6 linked regions of the Macaca mulatta genome follow. The protein of the gene in region 6 interacts with the protein of the main gene of each other region in a pairwise test. Links are inferred from orthologs where the notes say so. Each region holds a gene or a part of one and is shown on either strand. Other genes may lie near its edges. The genes, in order: INPP5D, PSMF1, CCDC33, SIAH1, BAHD1 and KHDRBS3.

Region 1 (3,500 bases), on a different chromosome or scaffold from region 6:
GGATTATAGGCGTGAGCCACCACATCCGGCCCAAAACCTGTTTTTTGATATGTATATAGTTTTTATAGGAGGTTCCTTTTCTTGGCAATATCTTTACAAATTTTTACCCTTTAAAAAGAAATCGAGTTGCACCAATAGGTTAGGACATGGAAGACTCCACATACATGTCTTAGGAGCCTGCTGTGTTCAGGCCCCAGGCATAAGTCATGAGCCAAGCAGACACAAATTGTGGCCCTTCTGAGGCTTCCATTCTAGGGTGAAAGCCCAGGGCGCTTTCATAAGTAGGGAGGGAGCCGTCTTAATGAAGAGGATACTCACCTTGACTCCTGCGTCCTTGGGGGGAGACCCCGGTTTGCTGTCGAGGGTAAAAACTTCTTGGGTGATATGGGTGGCTGGCAGGGAGGTGTCGTAGGACTTTCTCCCCTGCAGGGCCCCAGCGGGGAGTCCTTGGGTGGCTGGTCATAGCTCCAGGCTGTGGGCTGCTGGTCAGGGGACAAGGTCTGCTTCACGTGCAGGGGCACTGGTGGCCCAAAGGGCCCCACTCCCATGTAGTTGGGGTTGAGGATTTCGGTGATGCTGGAGCCACTGCATGGAGGGGCCCTGCAGGGAAGACATGGAGTCACATCTCAGGGGTCCCTTCCCTTCTCAGGGTCAGCACCAGCCCAAGGAAAGTGTCCTCTGACAACCCTGGGGCTCCCTCGGGCTCTCCTCAACTCCTTCACCTCTTGGGCAGTGATTCATTCATTCATTCATCTATCCACACAACACTGTGGTTACTGAGGGCCTTGAACGCACCCGGCCCCAGGCCAGGAGGAGGGAATATGGCTGTGAGTGAGGCAGCCGTGGTCTCTATTCTTATGGAACTCACTTTTGATGGGAGAGAAAAACAAGCTCAGTGGCACAGAGACACAATATTGATGTAGTGCTGAAGTCTGAGAGTAACAAGGGGAAGAGATGGAGGCTAGTGAAGCATTGGGACCAACTGGGCATTGGGTGGCCCCAGGAGGCCCCATCTGAGGGGTGGTCTTTTAGCTGAGATAAGAAGATAAGCAGACAAGAGAGAAAGAAGGGGAGAGTGTTCTCGGCAGTGGTAAGAGTACTTGCAAAGGCCTCCAGGTGAGAGGGGTTTGGCCTGTTCCTGGACAGTCTGAAGGCTGGTGAGCAGGTGCAGAGGATGGAGTGAGAAGCTGCAAGGCTGGTGGGGCAAAGAGATGGTGGGGGGTGGCCTGGGTGGCAGGAAGGAGGGGATTTTCAGGGCAGACTGTGGCACGGGTTCATCTGGAACACATCAGCCCACACGTTTGTGTGTGCAGCGTCAGCATGGAGGCAGCCACGTGCATATTTAGAAAAATGAGTGTGAGGTCACAGAGATCAAGGCTGGAGCCTGGAATGGGGGGCAATCAGCTTAAAGCTATGGAGGGCATGGCCCAGGCCTGGGTGAGGTGGCCCCAACAGATACATTGCATGCTGTCACTGTGTCAGGCACTCGCCTCCTGAGAACTGAGTTCTGAGTATATAGATTGTCAGGGACACTCCACATCTCCCATGTGCTCCGCCAGCCTGGTTCCGAGTTGTACCTTGCTGCCATCCACCAGTGTCTGCTTCAGAAATAAATGCTTGTTCTCATGCTAGTCAAAATGGAAAAGAATTTGTTTCCCTACACTGATCCTGATTTTGGAACCCAGTAGACACTTCAGAGCCAGGATGCATTTGCTGATGGGATTATCATAGGAGGGAAAGAGGGAAAGGGGATGCTTGTGTGCCCACAGCTGTGAACGTCGGAAGCTGGAAGTGGATCAGGGAATGTGCTAGAGATGAGAATTCCTGTGTTCAACGGGGGTGGCTGGGGTGAGGGCAAGGGTTGGTGGGGACGAGTGTTGTGGGGAAGGGAGGGAGGAGAGGAACAAGCTATGTCTGCTGCTGGCATGGTTCTGCCTCCTCGGCTGGTGAGCTGGCAAAGAGACCAGAACTTGATTCTGGAACTCGAGACCACATCGGTGAGTTAGGGCAGCCCTGCTACCAAGGATGTCTGTATTCTGGTAATACAGACTTTAACATCTGTACTATTCTCAGTTCAGTCTCTGCCGAGAACAACCGGTGTGCATTTTCCCGCAGTGATTTTTCTTGCTAGTGATAGGGTGGGGTTTGGTGGCCACAGATCCCATGATTGCTGGTGTCGTTTGTCCCACAGGAGACACAGCCACCATTTGTAGACTTGGAATCTCTCCATCCTCTCTGCAGTCACTTCTTCATGCACTAGGCCGCAGGTTCCTAAGTCAGGGACTGCACTGAATTTGCCTTGATTTCTCTAGAACTGGACACATCATAGGGACTCCAAAATGTTAGCTGAGTCAAACTGAACTTTCCGTCACGTTAGAGTTTCCCAGGCTTTGTCACAGTCACACCAACCTCCCCAGCAGTCAAACGACACCGAGCAGTCAGGAGAGCACCTCTCCTGGGCTGGAGCTTCTTTCTCCTGTGTCCTGGGTCTCTCTGTGCTTCAGTTCACCTTCTCACAGGCCCTGGGTCTGCAGAGCCATGCTAGTGTTTTGTTTGTTTTGTTTTGAGACAAGGTCTTACTCTGTCGCCTAGGCTGGAGTGCAGTGGCACAATCACAGCTCACTGCAGCCTCAGCCTTTTGGGCTGAAGCAATCCTTCCATCTCAGCCTCCTAAGTAGTTAGGACTACTACACCCAGCTAATTATTATTGTTATTTGAGACAGAGTCTCGCTTTGTCACTGCTGGAGTGCAGTGGCAAAATCTTGGCTCACTGCAATCTCTGCCTCCTGGGTTCAAGCAATTCTTGTGCCTCAGCACCCCCGCCCCCGCCGAGTAGCTGGAATTACAGGCATGTGCCACCATGCCCAGCTAATTTTTGTATTTTTAGTAGAGATGGGTTTTCACCATGTTGGCCAGGCTGGTCTCAAACTCCTGACCTCAAGTGATCCACCCATCTTGGCCTCCCAAAGTACTGGGATTACAGGCATGAACCGCTGCACCTAGCCAAATTTTTTTTTTTAGAGACAGGGTCTCGATATGTTGCCCAGGCTGGTCTCAAAACTCCTGCGCTCAAATGATCCTCCAGCCTTGGCCTCCCAAAGTGCCGGAATTACAGGCATGAACCATCACACCCGGCCAAACCATGCTAATTTGTCATGAGTCCCTGATATCCACCCTCCTCACACCTACCCCACACCCACTTTACCTGCTGGTGGCTTCCCACTGCTTCATGGGGTCATGGCTGGTGAGGCTCTTCAGGGTCTTTGGCCCACTGGACTCATCACGCTCTGTCTTCACAAAGTCTGGAAGGAAAGGGCCGGGAAAGAGCATGTGAGGGCCCAGCTTCCAGAGCTTAGACAAGGGATGGCAAAGGGGTTTCCATTTGCAAGCTAAAGCTGCACAGTGAATAGTGAGTACCTGGGGAGGTGAGTTAAGCAAGATTCTGAGGCCTCATAAGAGTTCAGTGATTGATTAGTTATGCCTGTTGTGGATCCACGGAG
Region 2 (4,181 bases), on a different chromosome or scaffold from region 6:
GTGACAGGAGGACAAGTGCAACCTGAGCCCCACTGGCAATCAAGGAGAAAAGGCAGAGAGAAGCAAAAATACACCACGCTCTAGTTTGCAATCCAAACACCCATTCCTTCAAGAGCATGCAAGATTCAGGAAGAAAGGTGGCAATGCCTTACAAAAACCCCATTCCCCAGGGTCCTGGGCCTCCCCAAAGATTTCTGAAACCAGCATCTTTTTCTGGCCTGCAGAAGCTCAAAAAATAGCACCATGAACAGAGAAAAATCAGATGGACCTTGGGGAATTGGTCAAGGCCTTTTTTTTGGAAAAACAACAACAACAACAACAACAACAGAAAAAAACAGTATTAAAATGAGATTGTATTCTTTCTGTACATTTCATCCGAAAATTTTGCAGCCTTGAGTGTATGTAAAGGTGATAATGCCAGCTAAAAGAAGGTGTCGACTTATGTGAACTGATGTTCCCAAACTGTCAAAGTGATTCAACAGGATGAGTGAGGGTAAGAATGGTGGGAGCAGATTCACAGCGATTGATATTTATTTGTGGAATGGCAAGAAGAGAAGGGCATCAGGCACACCCTCTAGAACAAGTTCCGGAGCAGAGGTGGACAGGGTTCTGACAGTGTGGCAGAGTAGAAGTAGCTAGTTAGGGGTATGTAAGGGGAGTGAGGTACATGAGAAGGGACAGTGCAGAGCACAGCTGTTCCATCTGAAGGACAAGAGAGCTGAGGGCCAATGGAGGAGCTCCCAGGTCAAAATCAAATCTTACTCCTCTTCTCAGCCCCACTGTCCCCTGCACCATCCCAGATATCAGTTTCTTTGAAGAATCTACGAAAAGCTGAAATAAAATGACTGGGGCAAGTGAAGAGCTGCTCAAGATTAAAAAGCTGGAGTAGGACAAGTGGGGAGACAAGATTTCTGTTAGGGGGACTATGCACTGAAACAGGAGCCTGACACTGAAATGTGTCTCTACCTGGTACTAAGGTCTGAAATGCTGAAAGGCATTTGGAAGGTATGTGGAATGAAGGGCAGCACAAAGAGAAAGGACAGGGACAGATGTGTTTGGGAAGGTGAAATGGTTCCTGCTTCCAGGTGTGTGTGTGTGAAAGGCTGGCTGTTCTTTTCCATCCTCATCTCCAGTCATAGAGCCCATTTGAGAGATGAAGTATGTGTGAGTTTGGAGGTGGGAATGGGGATCCTGAGTGTGTACCTGGGGTCCCAGTGAGATAACTGAGGTCGGGGGCGGGCAGGGGAAGAGCCAGAAATCCCTGACAGTTCTTAGGCTCTGGTTCCTGCTGAAGGAGGTAAAGTGTGAGAGGGGTATCGTGGTCTTGGTCTTTAGTTCTAAGAGACAGAGAGGAATAGGGACAGCAGTGAGGGGGAGGGGAAAGGGGATACTTGCCTAAGTGCTCAGAATGTACAAAACAAGTTTGAAGACGGGTCCCTAAAGCTGTGTCAGGAGAGGAGAATTAAGACTCTATTTGAGAAGCTAAAAAAAATGATTAGAGGAGTTGAGGGCTGAAGCAGTCAAAAAGGAGAGGAAGGGTGATGGGGTGATCTGTTTCCCATGGCTGGTCTTGGTTCTGAGAGTGAGAGAACAGTGACAGTGAGGGGCACGCATGGAGGCAGGCCCAGTTGTCCCAGCAAGCAGATGTCTAGGATGATGTGGATGTGGGGATGAGGGTCACAGGGAAGAGACAGCAAAGACAGAAGAATGCTAGAGCAAAGAATTAGTGAGGTGGGTTGGGCCCAGCGGTCCTGGAACTCGGTGGGGATGACAACAACGTCCCTAGGTGTAAGAGGTGGAGCCTGGGGATGGGAGTGGAGGGGGCTGGCCCTATGGGGACAGCTATGAGGAGAAAATCTCATATGACTCTCACATCCAGGCTGTATGTGTATACGATTCTAGGGGGGACTGTTTCCTAGAGCTTGAGTTGGGGATGGCAGTAGCGAGTGGACTACGCTGGGCCCTTCAGTAAAGCGTGAAAGGCATGTGAACTCTCTGGGCCCATGCTAAGGGGTGAAAAAAGGGCCGTGGCCTGGGGCTGAGTAGGTCAAAGCTCACTCCCGTACCTGTGCTTGGATCCAGATGTTTGGTGGAGGCTCTAGTGTGGTATGAGGGGGGAACTGAGTCAGTCCCCTCACCCCGAGGCTGGGTGGGAAGGAATTCAGAGGAGATTAGGTGGGTGAGGAGTGCTCTGGGGAGCTAAACTCCTGTCTGGATTCTTTTCCATTCTATGGAATGCTAGGTCCACACAGTCCTGGCCTGAGAGGCTGCCAGGCTGTGTTGAAGCGAGTTTCTGCCCTTGAGTTTACAAATCATGTTGTGCCAGCTGTGCTGTGAGGGACTCTGGGCTGGGTTGGAGCAGGTGAGCAACCTCCGACCCGCAGGTTTTACCAACGCTGTCATGTGCCCCAGGCCCTGCATTGGGAAAGGCGGGGAAATCGGGCGCTCTGGACCAGGCCTCCGGGCCTCTGAGTTTGGACAGAAGACAGTTCCCTCCTCCACCCTGGCCGGCTCCGTGGCGTACCTGGTCACCGACACCCAAGCCGTAGTAGCCGTGTGTCACCATTTCCCAATGCAAGAAGCAGACGAGCGCGTCCTGCGTGCAGGTGATGGCCGGCGCTGCCGATGCGAACAGTACCTCCAGGCCCGCCATGAGCGCCAGCGACTTCGGCGTCTGGAGGAGAGAAGGGGGAGGGGGTAGTGCAGTGAGCCAGCTCCGCGGCCGAGGTAGCTATAACTCCGCTTCACTCCTGCGCTAGCTCTGGCAGAGCCTACACCTGAGACCAAGATGGAGACGCCCGGGGGCGGGGCGGGGCGGGGCCGCCGGAAGTAGCCCCAGGAGCGGGCGCAACTGCGTGAGGCGCGCCGGGCTGGCAACGCGAGCGCAGAACTAAAAGGTTCCGCCAGGGACCGCGCGGGGCGAGACCCCTCAAAGCCGGAACCTGGGTCTTCGCCGCGGCCGACAGGATCGCTTCACGCAAGCACAGCGCCCTCCAAGAGGCCACCTTGCTGAAAGCCAGACTTCCCATGCACAAAATGGGTTATGCTAGGCCGGGGAAGGGGCTGGGAAATGTGGCTAAAATACATTCTTAATAATCGTTAATACGTACGCAGTGCTTACTACCGGCCACATTATTCTGAATGCTTTACTTGTATTCATTTATTTAATCTTCACAACCCAACTCTATGCAGTTGATATTAACGATTAATGTGCCTCATTGCACAGATGAGGAAACTGAGGCACAGAGGGCTAATTTGACCAAGGTGACAACAGCCAGCCGGTGAATGGCTGAGATGGTTACAGGAACCTAGCAGTCTGGCTTCTAAGATAACATTTATTAAGTGTTTATTGTGTGCTACATCCTGTACTAAAACCTTTACATCACCTTCTCAACAACTCTATGATGTACCATTATTATCCCCATTTTGCAGATGACAAAACGGCTGAGAGTTGAAACCATTTTTCCAAGAAGACACAACTGCTGCCGGCAGAGCTGAAGCTCCTGACCCATTACCAAATTTCAATCATTTGTTTGACTACCCCCTTTATGATTTTTACCACCCATTACGTCAACAAGTTTCATGAAATCCACTTATTGTTTTTACCCAAATAAATTTAGTTTCCCCATCCCAGTCACCAACCTGGTCCAAGCTCCTGTCATCTTTCAGTTGGACGCCTGGCATCAGCCTCGGAACTGCCCCATTCCATTCCTGTCTCTCTCTGTACTGCACTTCGCAACCAGAGAGATTCTGTTAGAAAACAGGTCAGATCCGCCGGGTGTGGCGGCTCACGCCTGTAATCCCATCACGTTGGGAGGCCGAGGCAGGTGGATCACTTGAGGTCAGGAGTTTGAGACCAGCCTGGCCAACATGGTGAAACCCTGTCTCTACTAAAAATACAAAAATTAGCTGGGCGTGGTGGCGCACGCCTTTAGTCCCCGGTACTTAGGAGGCTGAGGCGTGAGAATCGATGGAACCCGGGAGGTGCAGGTTGCGATGAGCCAAGATCTCACCATTGCACTTCAGCCTGGGCAACAGAGCGATACTCCGTCTCAAAAAAGAAACAAAAAGAAAAAAGAAAACAAGTCAGATCACATCCCTCGGCTCAAAATCTCACAGGGTTCCCATCACGCTCAATGGAAAAGTAAAGTCCTCCCCGTGGTCTGCAGGAACCTGCATGT
Region 3 (4,100 bases), on a different chromosome or scaffold from region 6:
CTGAGACCTTTCCACACATACACACTGTGCTGGGACATGCTGGCCCACAAGGGAGATAAAGCACAGTGCTCACAGCCAGGCCATTCCTGGTCAGGCCCCCAGTCCCAGAGCCCCAGCGGTACCACTCTTGGCAGGCCTAGACGGGGAGAAAATTAGGAGTGGGGTTCCCGACTTCCATCTCCCACCAGTGTCTGGGTGGTCTTGGCTGGTCCTTTCAGTTCTAATCAAAGACAAAGCCTCAGTTTTTCTGTCTCTAACCTGGGGAGAACCACATCCTCGCTGCTGCTCTTTCTGGAGGGGGGGTAGAGAGGGAGGCTGGGAGGCCTCTGCAAAGCAGGAGTCTTCTGCCTCCTGGCTGCCAGGCTGGTCCTGCTCTTCGGCCAGATTAAAAGAATCTCCAACATGGGGCCCAAAATAGGTAGAAATGAGGCAGGCCACAGGGGCCTCCCAAACACCTCTGACCACCACCCAGCACCCCAGATCCCTCCTCTTCTAGCCCAGGATTTCTGATGATCCTTCAAAGCCCAGTTCAGACCTCACCTCTCTATAGAACAACTCCCCACCCCAGGCCAACGACTAGCCTCTCCTCATTCTGCCATCTCACCTCACCAAAAGCACTTAGAACCCTGCCTGGTGTGCTGCAAATGCTCCACTAAAAGACATACTTTGTCTTCGTAATAATTTCTTGCAGCACTCAGAACTGAACCACAATCTTTGGTTCATACTCTAGTGCCATCACTGGCCCATCATGGCTTTCTTTAGTTGTTTAATTCTAATTTATTTTCAATAATATAATGAACTCCCATTAACTGACCACCCAATCTAAAAACCCAAAGGTTTAGAATGTATGCTCTTACCCTCTTCTCTCCCCCATCTTCCCACCCACCCTCCCAGAAGAAACCATCCTCTTGAAGTTTGTGTTTATTATTATCAAATAAATGGAAGACTATAGGTACCCAAAGAGGCACGATGGCTGGTAGATTCTTCAACAGAAGTAGCTGTTTTACCGATCAAGCTGCCACGCTCTTGAGAGCAGTGTCTGGCTTCCTCTTTTGCTGCAGTGTGAGCGGCATGGGGCTGGCCATGCCACAGGGTCGGTGGAGACTATGTGAGGCACCAAGAACAGGAAGGGTGAGGCCTGAGTGCCAGGCGGCAGGTGGAACACAGCTCCAGGAATAGGGAAAAGAGATTCGTGTTCTAGCTCACTGCACCTGGACAGGTGCCTGTGTGACTTTGGCCCTGCCCTGTGACATCACACAATGTTGCCCAGGTGACCCAGCTAGGTGGAAAAGCTCACTGCTTTTCCAGGCCTGGGCAGAGAGAGGGCTCTCCCATCTCTCCACCGTCCTGGGAGTGCCAAGAGTCAATCGCCTCGTTGCTGACCCTGTCCAACTGGCCATGGCCTGCAACCCCCTAGGCCCCTCCACCCATAGACCATCTTGCTGCTGAGAGATCGAGGACCTGCCCCCACCTGGCCACCCTCCCCCTTCCCCAACATCCAGACCCCAGGGCTGGTGTGTGGCACCCCTGAGACCACATTGACCTCCATACTGTCCACTAACCATAAGGACTCCAAGACGCCCAGGCCAACTGTCTGGGCAGGACTGATGCCTGATCACCCACTTATACCAGGTACTCGTCCCCAAGATTGTTAAACAAGGCCAGACACTCCTGGCCTCAAGAGGATGGGACTGAAAAACAAAAAGGTAAGGCCAGGGGAATGGGCCACACACCTGCATGAATCCATCCCTCCTTCAAAGTCTCTCCTTCAAAGTTTCATTTGTTCCTTAATCATGACAAAAGCTTCCCTTCTCTGGGCCTCAGTTTTCACAGCTGTGAAATGGGGAGTGAGGCGGTCTCTGTGGCTCTCCCAGGTTAGCTGCCCTATACTCTTGGGCCACGTGGGAACTGGAATGCAGTGTACTTGCGGGTGTTGTCAGTGCTGACCACCCTTACCTGCTTGTTTCTGCCCTCTTGTTGCTGGGGTCACACAGTCTGAGAGCCCACTGAGATGGTTCATTACCCCCATCCAATATCTCCCAGGATATTCCCAGGCTGCTACCTTGGCAGCCCTGATGCCCCCACTGCCCCCATGCTCTCCTAGCCCTGGCCCTGATTTTCTGGGGCCTAGGCCCCTGCCCTGGAACGCAGATGCTTGGGTCTCTGGAGAGAAGGGATTTTTGTGTGTTTTGTTCATCTCTGTATCCCCAGCACTCAGAACAGTGCCTGGCACATAGTGGGTGCTTAATAAAAAGCTGTGGCCTAGCAGCAGGGTTCTGCCAGGAAGGGACTAGAATCTTATTGCAATGAGATATAAACAGTTCAGTGCAAGGGACCCCTTACCTTCCTCTCACTAGCAAGGCAGAGCCCCTGCCCTAGATGGTGTTACCCACAGGGATACCAGAAGGAGCTGAGACCAAAGGCACATCGGTACTTGCAAACGGGGAATACCCTCTTTGTAGTTATACTCAGCTTGAATAAGCCAAATAGCTGGGGGTGCTCAGGCCTTAGTGTGATTTCCACTTTATTACCCTTGATTTTGATGTCTCTGGTTCCTGATGTTCTCTGCCCACAGCTGCCCCTGAACCTCCGCAGACTCCACCCTCCCCATTAAGACTCTTTCTGTAATGCCACACACTCAGGACCAGGCACCAGTTTGATCTGGCACCCTAAGCTGCCAGGTGGTCCCCACCTGCCCCACATAGCTGGGATTGGGGATCCAGGGAGTGTGCGTGGGAGTCCTGAGAAGGAGCCAAGGTTGCTTTGATTGGTAGCTTTGAGAAGCACTTTGATAGCTGGGTAGAATCGCCCATAAGGATGCTCATCATGGCCGGGGGGGTGGCTCACGCCTGTAATCCCAGCACTTTGCGAGGCTGAGGCAAGTTTAAGACCAGCCTGGTCAACATGGTGAAACCCCGTCTCTACTAAAAATACAAAAATTAGCTGGGTTTGGTGGGACACAGCTGTAATCCCAGTTACTCAGGAGGCTGAGGCAGGAGAATAGTTTGAACCTGGGACATGAAGGTTGCAGTGAGCCGAGATCGTTCCACTGCACTCCAGCCTAGGCAACAGAGTGAGATTCCGTCTCAAAAAAAAAAAAAAAATGATGTTGGCCAGGCACAGTGTCTCACTCCTGTAATCCCAGCACTTTGGGAGGCCAAGGCAGGAGTTTGAGACCAGCCTGGCCAACATGTTGAAACCCTGTCTCTACAAAGAGCGAAACTCCGTCTCAAAAGAAAAAAAAAAAAAAAAAAAGGATGCTCATCATGTATATAATATATATATTTGTGTTTCTTCTTTTGTGAATACCCAGTTCATGTTTTTTTAATTGGGTAATGCTTATAGGTTTCAGTGCTCTTTGTATACTACGGATATTAATCCTTTTTTAAATATATAGCAAACATTTTCTCCTTTTTTCCTTTTCTTTGTATTGCAGGGCATTTTGGATCATTACAGAAGTTTGTATAGATTTTTTAAATGTAATCAAACCTATCCTTTTTTAATGATTTCTGACTTTTGTGTCATCTTTGGGAATGCTTCTCTGCTCCAAAGAACACAATTCCTCTTGCTGCCACCAATGGATACTCAGGTTATGAGTTCAACGGGGTATCCACTGTGGAGCAGAGAAGGGACCCACATCCAAGGAAGCATGGTCAGAGCACAGCAGAGACAGCAAGAGCGTGGGGTCAGACGGACCCTGCTTCCAGTTCCAGCCCCGGCCCCACTAGCTAAGCCGTGTGCTTTCACGCAAGAGGTTTACTTTCTCTGAGTGTGCTTCCTCACCTGAAAAAGAGCTTTCCCCTGACCACCGTAACTCCCAGGCAAGTTTAGATGCCAAAGCTAGAAGGAACATGGGGAACCATTTTTAACTGAAAGTCCTTGTGAAACTGCTGGGAAATAGCCCCACTGCAGTCAAATAACTCGCCTAAATGACAGATCCGGGCAGTCAGGCACCCTGCCTCGCAGCCCAGCCCCTCTCCAGCTGGTGTGACTTTTCAGATGCAGGGTCCTTCTGGAGGGCAGAACCGGGCTCAGCTCCTCAGGCCTCCCAGACTGCTGGAGGAGAGGGGTGGCAAGGGAGGCGTGGGTGGAAGAGTTTG
Region 4 (4,026 bases), on a different chromosome or scaffold from region 6:
GTCTATTTTCAATTATATTTCTTTTCCTAATGTTGTTTTGTGTAGCCTGTATTGTAAAATGAGGTTGAGGTGATTGGACACACTGTTAATAGAGTGAGGAAGTGGGTAGAGTTAAAATTTCTTGCTGAAAGTGGGTAATCTGCAGTTCCTTGCATTGGGTTCACTCCTCACTGCCAGCTCTTGCTGCATTTGGAGGCTGCCCTAAGCATGATGTAATGACAGGTTAAACCTCTGCACGCACTAGCTGATGCAATGCAAATCTGAGGCCCAGGACTTTATTGGGGCAAGGGTAATGCTTGTTTAAAAACAAAACAAGCTACTCTGTGTTTAATGAGGCCATTTAAGATGGCTTTCCCAGAGTGGGAAGAGTATAATCTCTTAGGAGGTTTAAGTAGGAGTTTAATGTGGCAGAAGTGTGCTTACAACTTTTCCTGCGAAGTCTTTTCACAGCGGGGAAGGAGAGTTTAAAATATAGTGCCCATAGGAGTAGAAATGAAGTGAGCTAGAATTGAGTAAATATGGTAGTTGATGCCCGGTAAATAGCTGTTGAATGAATTAAGGAGAATGTTTTCACTCTAAAAATTAAGTTTGCACGATGAACCGGGAATGTAGCGCCGGTGTGGGCACGCATTTCCCAGATACGCCAGATACGCTGTAGCTCTTAGATCGAACCGTGAGAAACTGCCGATATTCGACTGTTGTGACCTACCGAAAACAGCATGGTTCTACCTAATTTTAAACTGGTGGAAATGCTGAGGAAGGCTCGATGTCGCTGGGGTGGGATGGGGTCAACAGCGGGGTGGCGGGGCCCCGCCCTGGGCTGCGGGGCGGGGCTTGCGGGCACAGCCCCACCCCTGCGCGAGCAAGACGGGCACCGCCCTGCGCGCTGCGCGCCCTGAGCTGGCCCTGGCGCCCCGGGTTGGAGTGGGCGTTCCCAACGCAGGCCCAGCCCCGGCCGAGGCTCCAAATGGCTCTCCAGCAGGCAGGCTTCTGCAGTAGCCCCTGAGCTGGCTCAGGGAGCGCACTTCCTTCGCAGTGAGCGCGTCGCCCCCTGCATCCCCGGCCTCCACCGGAGCTGGGGAGCTGGGCAGTAGCCTACGGAGTGAATCTGGAGAAGACAAACTTGGGAGACAGACGAAAGCTTAGGGCACACTGGAGGACAGCGCAGCTGTGGCTCCCATTTTTGGAGATGCAGCCGAATTTGAGCTCACAGGGAGGTGTGGTTGCCTCCTGGGGATGGGAAGGCTTCCTTTCTCCACCTCTGTAACTCGTGCTTCTGAGAAGTAAATGGATATTTGGATCCTGACCTCAGACGCGAATTTGGGTCTTCTGTGCTTAGGAGCAGAAAGTGCCCAGGAGGGGCCTGTTCCTTTACTTCTTGGGGGAAACGCAATGCGCGGCCTGACTTCTCATGACGGGAAAGGCTACTCCACCTTCTCTGTACTCCTGGAGGGGAGTCTTGTTCACATGTTTACCAGCGGCCAGGACAAGGAAGAGAAAAGGTATTGACATTAAGAGGATAGGTTGCTGAGGCTATGAAGCTTGAACGCTATTAGTCAGTGGAACCTGTCTGGCTTAGGGAATGGCTGCAGCAGAATCCAGCCGTTTCCGAGGTTCTCAGTCATGTTTCATTTGGGTTGCTGTGCTTTTTTATGTTTAAATCAAACTTCAGGTTACGTCATGACTTCTGCAGGGCTGTCCTTAGTTCCTACTGCAGGGCGGCTGTGTGGTTGGGATTCCTTTTCTGTTTCAAGATGGAGCTGGGTTCCACCCTTGGAGCTTTGAGAGGCTTTAGCAGTTGCTGTCCTGTAATACCTCCATTCACAAGAAATACCGTTCACATTTCAGTTCTTTTTCACACTTTGAATAGGAGTTAAAATGTGCTTTCTATAGTGTTTGGAAAATGGTAAAGATGTATTGTGAGCCTGAACTGTTGATGATAAATGTATAACTATTGCTAGGTCAAGAAATTGTGAACAACAGTGTTTTTCTCGGTCTCTAGCTATGTTGTGTTAAATATAAACTGAGTTTACTGCCCTTGGATGTGATTCCTTGGTTTGGTTTAGTAATCTGAAAGGCATTGGTTGACTAGACTGTTTTGTGCCCAAGGAACCACTTTGTAATTGTTATGCTGCTTACTGAAGTAAACTGGACCATGCAGTAGGCATACAGCATACAGCCAGGGTGTTTTGGCAATACTGAGCCCACTGTTTTACAAGTGACATAAAATGGATGTCATATGTACAAAGAATCTACTCAGAGGGAAACTGGATTACAGGAGAGCTCCTTTATAGTCCTTTGTCAGGGGACAGAACACCTGGGTCACACTGGGCTTCAGATGAGAGTTGATTCATGTTCTGAGTCCGTATGATGAGACACATTATGATGGAATTCTGTCACTTTTGTTGCCTCTTGAACTTTAAAATATCCTTTTAGTGATGTGGAATTAATCTTTATTTTTCCTTCACCCTAAGCCCTCATTTAAGCTATCAGTTGGTAACCACTTGGGTAATCTAGAAACCAAGTTGCATTTACTTGGTCACATTGGTAACCAACATTGTTTCTTAAAAGTTCCCTGCAACAGAATAATGACTATAATTGAATTAAAACATTAATTTTGAAGCTTTAATTTTGTAATATGGCTTAGTGGCCGGGCGCAGTGGCCAATGCCTGTAATCCCAGCACTTTGGGACGCCGAGGCCGGGGAATCACGAGGTCAGGAGTTTGAGACCAGCCATGGTGAAACCCCGTCTCTACTAAAAATACAAAAATTAGTCGGGCATGGTGGTAGGCACTTGTAATCCCAGCTGCTTTTGAGGCTGAGGCAGGAGAATTGCTTGAACCTGGGAGGCAGAGGTTGCAGTGAGCAGGCACCATTGTACTCCGGCCTGGGCAACAAGAGCAAAACTCCATCTCAAAAAAAAAAAAAAAAAAAAAAGAATATGGCTTAGTAGAGTTACTAGGAGTGCACTCTTAGGACATCGACTGATCTTTTTTTCCACCCCCAAGACAAATAGTGGCCTGCAATATCCCAGCCCAGGTAGCTTCCTGGGAAAAGTTGCTTGTTTTATGTTTGACTCAGCTTGACTAGTTACATTGTCGATTATTTCTTCCAGATGACATTTACTTGTTAAATAACGTTGATTACTCTGCTGATGAATGTTTCAGCAACGCTGGAGAACCCTAGGCTGCAAGGGGTTCTTCACCTGTTGACTTCATCCCCCACCCCCAGTATGGTATATTATCTCTGCCGTGCTATCATCTTTATTCTTTCCTTTTTCACTGTCTCTTCCTGACTCTCCTCCTTTGTTCATTATGTCTGATACATATTGTGGATTGAAAGTGGAACAGAAAGATGTACTTTCTCTACCAGACTAAAAAGTTTTGAGATGGCCCTCCATTTCTCCTATGTCTCCCTTCACCTTTGTTGTGTGTTTATTTTTATATTTTTGCTACCTTCACTAGCGAGTACATCCCCTCACTCTTGAGGTGAGCACTAATCAGTAAGAAATAAGATTAATACCTGGCTGATGATAATTTGGGGGGAAGACTTAATTAGGTAAAGATGGATAATGGGATGGCAGCAGACCTTTCCCCTTGTGACCCCTCCCCTCATTCCCAAAGTACACCTCTAGAGTAGATAATGGCTTACCATTAAGAAGAGTTAATGGAAGGTTCTCTGATTCTTTGGCATTGGAACTACACTTGTCCCGCGGTATCCTCGGAAGATTAGTTCTAGGACCCCCTTCCCCATACCAAAACCTGAGGATGCTCAAGTCCCTGATAGAAAATGGTGTCGTATATGTATGTGCATATTCTCCTGTATAATTTAAATTATCTCTGGATTACTTAATACAATGTAAATAATACGTAAATAGTTGTTATAGACTGTATTTTAAAAATTTTGTATTATTTGTAAATTTTTCTGAATATTTTCAATCCATGGCTGTGGTGAAGTCCTTGGATGCAGACCGTGTGAATACAGAGTGCCGATTTTATCCAGGACTTCACCTGTAACTCCCTATA
Region 5 (4,203 bases), on a different chromosome or scaffold from region 6:
CCCTGAGACTCTTCCCCACCTCCTTGCATCCTGCCCCTGCCTACAAAGAGGGAGAACTGAGCACAACTAGCAAGGCAGCGCGTTTGTCTCCTGTGTTAGTGCTTCTCTTTGATACTTTCTTTTCCCAACTCTTTGTGGCCGGCAGGGGTTTAAAGCGGTTTGGCAGATCTAGTGTGCAGCCCCTGGGTTTTCTCTATCCCCAGGAATATGCTGATCCCGGCCATACTGTTACCCTTGCCCTAGGTACTGGCACCCTTTGGGCTGCTCTTGCCTGGAATTTGAACCGAAGTTCAAATGAAACTTCTCCACCATGGGCCCCTCAAAGCTGAGACCTCTCCACCATGGGCCCCTCAAAGCTGAGACCTCTCCACCATGGGCCCCTCAAAGCTGAGACCTCTCCACCATGGGCCCCTCAAAGCTGAGACCTCTCCACCATGGGCCCCTCAAAGCCAGGCCTTCACCCTTGATAGAGCTTTTCCAGCCAGACCCAGGTTGTGGCGGTCTTGCTTTATGTGCCAGGGGAGGAGTCCTCAGAGACTGACTTTGCCTTCTTCATGGCCCAGCAGGCAGGTTCCCCATCTCAACTCTTCACTATCTGTCTTCTTATCCTCCTGTGGCCAACCTCAGAAGCCCTGTGTTTGGGGAGGGGGTTGTTAATGCCTTGGTTATACTTTTGAAAGAATAGATGAACTCCTGGCCAAGCGCAGCAGCTCACGTCTGTAATCCCAGCACTTTGGGAGGCTGAGGCGGGCATATCACGAGGTCAGGAGATCGAGACCATCCTGACTAATATGGTGAAACCCCCTCTCTACTAAAAATACAAAAAAATATTAGCCAGGCATGGTGGCGGGCGCCTGTAGTTCCAGCTACTTGGGAGGCTGAGGCAGGAGAATGGCATGAACCTGGGAGGCGGAGCTTGCAGTGAGCTGAGATCTCGCCACTGCACTCCAGCGAGACTCCGTCTCTCAAATAATAATAATAAAAATAATAAAGAATAGATGGACTCCTACCACTCAAGCCCCCATCTTGGGAGGCTCTGTCTTCAGAGCCTCCTCCTATCCAGTGATGAGTATCTAGTGAGAGAAGGACGGAAAGAAAACAAAGAGCTTTGCCACCAGCTCCTCCTATCCCCTGTCCCTGGGGTCTGCATTGCTCCCTAGGCTTTTCAGGGGCTTAGTTCAGAGATAACCCTAGGCTAAAAGGAAAGAGGGGGAACCAGTCCTTGCACAGCTGCTGGTAGCCTGATTCCACTGCACCTTCACACTCTGGAAGGGGAGTCCTGGGAAAACCCATACTGGAGGCCAGGGTCACTGCACCTGGGGCTGGGTAGGCTGCAGTGGGAGAGAAAGCAGGCAGGGGCAGGCCAGAGAGGGCTTCTCTCATTGCCCACCTTCTGTCCTGCAGGTTGGAAGTACTCCATGACACACACTCGGAGAAAGTCTCTTCCCATGCTGAGTTCGGGCCCCAGTGGCCGCCGAGAGCCCCTGCAGATGGAAGACAGCAACATGGAGCAGGGGGCTGAGGGTGTGGAGCCAGGCATGCCTGAGAGCCCAGGTCACCTCACAGGGCGCCGCAAGAACTACCCACTTCGTAAGCGCCCATTGGTTCCTGAGAAGCCCAAGGCCTGCAAAGTGCTGCTGACTCGCCTGGAGAATGTGGCCGGTCCCCGGAGTGCAGATGAGGCTGATGAGCTACCGCCTGACCTGCCCAAGCCCCCCAGCCCAGCCCCATCCAGTGAGGACCCTGGCCTTGCCCAGCCCCGCAAGCGGCGCCTGGCCTCCCTCAATGCCGAAGCTCTCAATAACCTGCTGCTGGAGCGAGAGGACACCGGCAGCCTGGCCGGCACCCGCCGCAGCCGAGCGGGGGATCCCCACCGCAGCCGGGACCGGGACCGTGCTACTGGGGGCTGGTCCTCCTCCAAGAAGCGGCCCCGGCTGGGGGACCTTGGAGGAGGAAGTCGGGACCTGTCTCCAGAGCCAGCACCAGATGAAGGTCCCCGCCGAGATGGAGACCCAGCTCCCAAGAGACTGGCTAGCCTGAACGCAGCTGCTTTCCTAAAGCTGAGCCAGGAGCGGGAGCTACCCCTGCGTCTGCCTCGTGCCCATGCAGAAGTAGATGGGCGCTCCACTGAGCCCCCAGCACCCAAGGCCCCGAGGCCAAAGTGGCCCAAGGTCAATGGCAAGAACTATCCCAAGGCTTGGCAGGGGGCCAGCTCTGGGGAGGCTGCAGGCCCACCCGGCTGGCAAGGCTGCCCTGATGAGTCATGGCCATCTACAACTCCTCGCGGACCATCCATCCAGCCATCTCATCAGCCCCTGAGCAAGGCTCTGGAGAGCCCTTTGGGGCTGCGCCCTCACCTACCCCTGCTGATGGGTGGACAGGCGGCTCTGAAGCCAGAGCCTGGGCGCCCAGGCGAGGAGTCACCCGCCCCTAAGCAGGAACTGCATCAGCCCTCGTTCCCCACACCTCAGCTGTCTCCGCTGCCGATGCCTGGCAACCCCGCCGACTATAGTGGCCTATGTGTTGGGCCCGAGCTCACTGCACTAGGCAGCTTCTACCTGTACTGTGGCCAAGAGGGGCTGCAGTGTGGGGGCTACTCGCCCTGCCCCATGCTCCCTGAGGGCAAGCTATCCCCAGTGGCTGCACCTCAAGAAGAGGGGCTCCTCTTAGCCCCGAGCTCAGTGCCCTCAGGCACCCCTTTTCAGCACCCTCCCTGGGGCTCCTCTCGCTACTGCTCTAGTGAGGACACTGGAGTGAATGGCTACAGCATCTGCGGAGTGTTGCCCCTGTCTGTCACCCGCGCTGGCACTACCTGTGGCGGCTGCCCATACAAAATGCCTTTTGCAGCAGGTGAGGCTTCCTGGGTCCGGGATATACTGAGGAGTCTCAGAGACACAGCATCCCAGGAGGTTGGGCTGTTGATCTGAGCAGGGGTCTCCCTTGGGGTCTGGCTGCTAACTGGAAGGTAGGGGCTTTCAGAAGCGAGAACTCCCGTAGTCTGTGCCCCAAGCAGAGGAGCATTCCCAAGAACAGGGCCCCATGTATAGTTGTGGACAGCCTTGCTCTTCCCAGGCTGCCTGTGGAGATTCTTGGCCTGGCAGTTAGGTAGCATTGCAGTGGTACAGGCCACAGGAAGGCCTCTCTTCCCTCCTCATCCTGGGATACTTCTTCTTAGACTCTGAATAGCAGGTTAGTTATTGGAATTAGGACTTTTACCAAACTGTTCTAATGGCCTGGCCCTTCTGCCCTCCTCGAGGAAAGCTAGAATTCCTTACTTTCTAGAAACCAGTACTCTCTGCATGCAGGTGAAGTTCAGTATTCATGGGAAGAGTGGTAGGTACCAGGCTCAGTAGGTGGTACCTACTGCACAGGGCAGCTTTTCCCTGGCTATACAGGCCTTGAAAAAGAAGTGCCCAGACTGAGCATCACTTTGCTGGGTGTGGATAGAGAGGGTACACCGTGAGAACAGACAAACAGAGTTCCCTGACGTGGATGGAACGCAATCAGGGCCCACAGCTTTGGTGTCTGCCTGCCTGACAAGACCCAGACACCTGCCCATGCTCCGGCTGTTGAGACACTCCCAGAATCATTTCTCTTCCCTAAACTGGCAGAGGTATCCTCACCTGCCTCTCCAGGCTCCCTGCCTGCCTCCTGGGTGGAAATGAGACGTCCTGGCCAGCAGGTCTGGCCTGCTGCTGGGGAGGTGAGGGCTGAACCTTCCAGATCTCCCTTCCCCCCACATCCTTCCTTGTAGGGGTCTATAAAACAACTTTATAGACCAGTTGGCCCTGGCCAGACTGGTTATTTCAGGTTGTGGCTTGAGTTAGAGTTCTTGTGACATGAGAACAGGCTGCTGCTGAGGGTTTTCCTTCTTTTTTTGTGCCATTCCCCAAGTCTAGACCCTCATCCTCTCCCCCTAATAATAAGGACACCAGTAAACACCACGTACCAGGCACTGTTCTAAGTGCTTTACATATGGGAGGCTGCTTGCCACGTAATTGAGCACAGACTCTGGAGCCAGACTGCCTGGAGTGGAATGTTCTCCCCCACTTCCCTAGCCATGTGACTATGGGACAAGTCAGTAGCTGCTCTGTGTCTCAGTTTTCTTAACTATAAAATGGGGGTAATGATACCTACCGCGTAGGGGTTTTGTAAGGATGAAATGAGTTAATGTGTTCATTAAAAAACCAGTCAGTTACCAAA
Region 6 (3,500 bases):
TAGGACCGGCATAGCTGAGATGAAAGTGTAGCTGAGTAAATCCCATGCTCATCTCCGGCTCTGTCTATTAGTCTTTCTTTTCTTCGTAAGAGTTCAAATAGTCAAGTCACAGAAGTTGAATCCTTCAAGGGTGAAGTCAAGGCTTATGTGCCTCTAGCATTTCATCATTGGCCTCTTGCTTAGTTGTGAAATTAAAAGGTGGTATTGCCAGGAATTCCTGGGGTTCCCTTGGTTATGGGATAGCCTTTTTGAGAGACTAGAAAGATTTCTTATCTTTTGGAAATTAGTCTCAGGTTTCTGTTAATCTTAATCTGTCTGATATTAACATTGGAAACAAAGATTACTGGAAGACCCAGATTCTGAAATGAGGACCTAACATTGAAGGTTAGTTAGGAAAAGGGAGAGGAGCAAAATCAGGAGTTCCTTAACAATCTGTTTTTTCTCCTCCTAGTTTTCCTCCTACATTTCATTATGGAAACAAAGATTAAAAACTTTTGTCATAATTGTGTAAAATAATGTAATAAAGTCTTTCATTTTGTTTTATTCACTGTTTTATTCTCAGAATATAGTGCTTGGTATGTAGAAATGTTTTTTGAATGAATATGTGAACGAGCAAATTGACATAGCAATGAATGAATGTTTAATCATTCATTCAACAAATCTTTGTTGAACATCTGTATACCAAGCACTTTTCTAGACATGGAAAATGCATCACTAAGCAAAGCAGTCACAGTGTCTGCTCCATGGTAATCACTTTTTACTAAGAGAAAATAGACATGTTTTTTAAAATAAGATATTTCAGATAGTGGTAAGTGCCTTGCACCAGCATCACAGACACACACAGCCAGTGTAGAAGTGAGCACGTGAGCTCAGCCAGGTTGAGAAGCACAAAGGAAGCATGGGCAGCTGCTGCTGAGGGCTGAGCCAAGGAGACTGGAGAAGGTGAAGACAGCCTAGCAGTGGAAGTGAGCAGATGATGGAGCTCCTACAAGTCAGCATCTGGAGTGGGATGTTATTCCAGCAGCAGTAGGAAGCCTTTGGAGTGTGTGTAAAAGCCTGGGAATATCAGGATCACATTTGTAGCTTAAACCGTCTTTTCTAGAGTGGTGTCTACTGTTTCGTGAATTTTCTGTGACAACCGCATGCCAAATGGATTGTTTTTATTTTGGGGGATTAGTTTTTATTTACTTATTTTTTTATTTTTTCATTTCTTACAATGACACATTTTTGAATGTGATTTCTTTTTTCTTTTTTCCAGGAAGAAGAGTTGAGGAAAAGTGGAGAAGCAAAGTACTTCCATCTCAATGATGATCTCCATGTTCTCATTGAAGTGTTTGCCCCACCTGCAGAAGCTTATGCCAGGATGGGACATGCTTTGGAAGAAATCAAAAAGTTCCTCATCCCTGTTAGTACAATTTTTCTTGATTGTTAACTTGTACTTTAAAGTCTTTGCTTTAATCCTTGATAATTCTTGTCTGTAACTGTTATTTGCGTAGCTCCTTTTCCGCTGAAAAGCTGTATGGACATCACCTCACGTAGACCTTACAGTGTCCCTGTGAATTACTGGGCATCATTCCTTCTTTATATATGAGGTGTTGGAATTTCAGGAAGATTCAATAATATGGCCAAGGTTACATAGCTAAAAAACTTGCATAGCACAATCCCTAGTTCAGGTTTTGAAACACGTTTCCTACGATTTTATGTGACACTTTGCAAATTTTTTGTTCTCCAACACAAAACCGTTAGTGCCTTCTGCGTGCCATGCACGGTGCTTGGTGTTGGCATGCAGACTTGAATAAAAGCAGTCCCTGCCCTCGTTTAGTATAATATATTATGTAATTTTGAGGAAAAGAGAAACATCAATAGATGATTTCAGTACAACATGATAAATATAGTAACAGACATAACCATAATGAGCACAGAGGGCATGGGCTATTTAGCTAGCTTCTGCCAAGAATTTTGGATGTTTCGTTAAAAATTGACTATCTGTTTTAACCCTTGCAGACACCTTGACATTGCTAAGGATGTGACAATTTAAAGGGAATACATCTCTACCTCTGTTACAAAAATTGATTTAAGTCTTTTGTGTGATTTGTATGCTCTTGATAAAAGGACTTTTTATGTCATTTGCATGCTCTTGGTAAAAAGAATCATAAAGTATTCAACACTTTGGCGCTGCAGACTATTTTAGAGAAACTGACACATCTGTCAAATAGTTCTCTGGATAAGACTGTCTTTGGTTATCCTAGGCTAGTTTGGTGGATTGACTTACATACTACAGCACTTGTACTGTGATTATACTATGTGTGAGGAAAACAATTGTTATATTTATAGGCAAAGGATATTTAAATCACTTTTGCCTTTAAAAAGCCAGGACATGGAATTGCATTAAGTATGTAATAACCTGGGAACTGAAATGGCTAGTATTTTCTTTAGTTCCCATGAGCAAATATGACAATCTATTTCTTCATTTAGTTTAAAAACAAAATTTCTAAGGGCTTCGCTATGTGATAGGCAGATGTGAACTAATAAAATACATGATCTCTCATGGAGTTTCATGGCAAAGTCAGATATGAATCAGTTTTTCATACAAATGACTACGAAACTGAAACCCTGACAAGACCACAGCTAAGGAGAGGTGTATGTTTTGGTGATGATGCAGTGTGGCGCAGGCAGTGCGTCTCTAGCCAGGTGAGACAGATTCTCTTTTCCACAGATGGCTGCAGTAGCACCTTTTATCCCGTGACCCCTACAGTCCTTCCCCGGGGTAGACTCTAATTTCCCTCACACCGAATCTGGGCTGGCCAAAAGAATCTTCGCCTACTGAAGGTCACCAAGATTTTCTGTTTTCTTTAAATGTTTTTCAGTATTCTCTCACTTAAAATCCATTTTGAGTTAATTTGTTTATTTCAGGTCTCTAAATTTATGTTTTTCTGGATGAATATCCAGTTTTCCTAGCACCATATGTTGAAAAGACAATCATTTCCTCATTCAGTACCTTAGTACCATTGTTGAAAATTTACTAAACATAAATGTAAAGGTTTATTTCTGCACTCTCAAATTCTTTTTCATTGATTTGTATGCCTACTCTTAATGCCAGTAGCATGCTCTTAATTACTTTATCTTTAAGTAAATCTGGAAATCTAGGTTGTGTAAATTGTCCAACTTTGTTCTTTTTCAAACATTTTTTTTTACTTTTCTGGCTTCTTAGCATTTTTATATATGTTTTAGGATCAGCTTCTTAATTTCTGTTTAAAAAAAAAAAAGCTGGCTGGGATTTGATACATATTATATTGAATCTATAGATCAGTTTGGGGATAATTTTCATCTTAACAATTTTGAGTTTTCCAATCCAGGAACATGAAATGTTTCTTCACTTTTAAAAAAGATATTACAAAATGTTTCTCAATAGTGTTTTATCGTTTTCAGGGTATCAGCCTTTTCCTTTCCTTTGCAAAATTGATTTGTAAATATTGTATACTTTTTGATACTATTGTGAG

The links.
Region 1: the proteins of KHDRBS3 (region 6) and INPP5D interact in binary tests that used the Homo sapiens proteins (3 or more experiments, as listed by UniProt). The two-hybrid records come from large-scale screens. The link is inferred for Macaca mulatta from reciprocal best matches to the Homo sapiens genes KHDRBS3 and INPP5D.
Region 2: the proteins of KHDRBS3 (region 6) and PSMF1 interact in a two-hybrid assay, tested with the Homo sapiens proteins (2 studies listed by BioGRID and IntAct). The link is inferred for Macaca mulatta from reciprocal best matches to the Homo sapiens genes KHDRBS3 and PSMF1.
Region 3: the proteins of KHDRBS3 (region 6) and CCDC33 interact in a two-hybrid assay, tested with the Homo sapiens proteins (2 studies listed by BioGRID and IntAct). The link is inferred for Macaca mulatta from reciprocal best matches to the Homo sapiens genes KHDRBS3 and CCDC33.
Region 4: the proteins of KHDRBS3 (region 6) and SIAH1 interact in a two-hybrid assay, tested with the Homo sapiens proteins (3 studies listed by BioGRID and IntAct). The link is inferred for Macaca mulatta from reciprocal best matches to the Homo sapiens genes KHDRBS3 and SIAH1.
Region 5: the proteins of KHDRBS3 (region 6) and BAHD1 interact in binary tests that used the Homo sapiens proteins (3 or more experiments, as listed by UniProt). The two-hybrid records come from large-scale screens. The link is inferred for Macaca mulatta from reciprocal best matches to the Homo sapiens genes KHDRBS3 and BAHD1.

Annotation. Positions count from the first base shown.
Region 1 is NC_133417.1:138,473,440-138,476,939, reverse strand, and holds part of INPP5D (phosphatidylinositol 3,4,5-trisphosphate 5-phosphatase 1), read right to left. Parts: intron 3,303-3,500; coding exon 3,206-3,302; intron 601-3,205; coding exon 319-600; intron 1-318. UniProt on the Homo sapiens protein: Phosphatidylinositol (PtdIns) phosphatase that specifically hydrolyzes the 5-phosphate of phosphatidylinositol-3,4,5-trisphosphate (PtdIns(3,4,5)P3) to produce PtdIns(3,4)P2, thereby negatively regulating the PI3K (phosphoinositide 3-kinase) pathways.
Region 2 is NC_133415.1:83,016,317-83,020,497, forward strand, and holds the start of PSMF1 (proteasome inhibitor PI31 subunit), read right to left. Parts: upstream 2,801-4,181; 5' UTR 2,654-2,800; coding exon 2,525-2,653; intron 1-2,524. UniProt on the Homo sapiens protein: Plays an important role in control of proteasome function. Inhibits the hydrolysis of protein and peptide substrates by the 20S proteasome. Also inhibits the activation of the proteasome by the proteasome regulatory proteins PA700 and PA28.
Region 3 is NC_133412.1:52,149,698-52,153,797, forward strand, and holds the start of CCDC33 (coiled-coil domain-containing protein 33), read left to right. Parts: upstream 1-1,300; 5' UTR 1,301-1,685; coding exon 1,686-1,706; intron 1,707-4,100.
Region 4 is NC_133425.1:43,776,374-43,780,399, reverse strand, and holds the start of SIAH1 (E3 ubiquitin-protein ligase SIAH1), read left to right. Parts: upstream 1-1,226; 5' UTR 1,227-1,411; coding exon 1,412-1,502; intron 1,503-4,026. UniProt on the Homo sapiens protein: E3 ubiquitin-protein ligase that mediates ubiquitination and subsequent proteasomal degradation of target proteins.
Region 5 is NC_133412.1:17,779,041-17,783,243, forward strand, and holds the start of BAHD1 (bromo adjacent homology domain-containing 1 protein), read left to right. Parts: upstream 1-1,403; 5' UTR 1,404-1,418; coding exon 1,419-2,850; intron 2,851-4,203.
Region 6 is NC_133413.1:145,925,448-145,928,947, forward strand, and holds part of KHDRBS3 (KH domain-containing, RNA-binding, signal transduction-associated protein 3), read left to right. Parts: intron 1-1,258; coding exon 1,259-1,405; intron 1,406-3,500. UniProt on the Homo sapiens protein: RNA-binding protein that plays a role in the regulation of alternative splicing and influences mRNA splice site selection and exon inclusion. Binds preferentially to the 5'-[AU]UAAA-3' motif in vitro.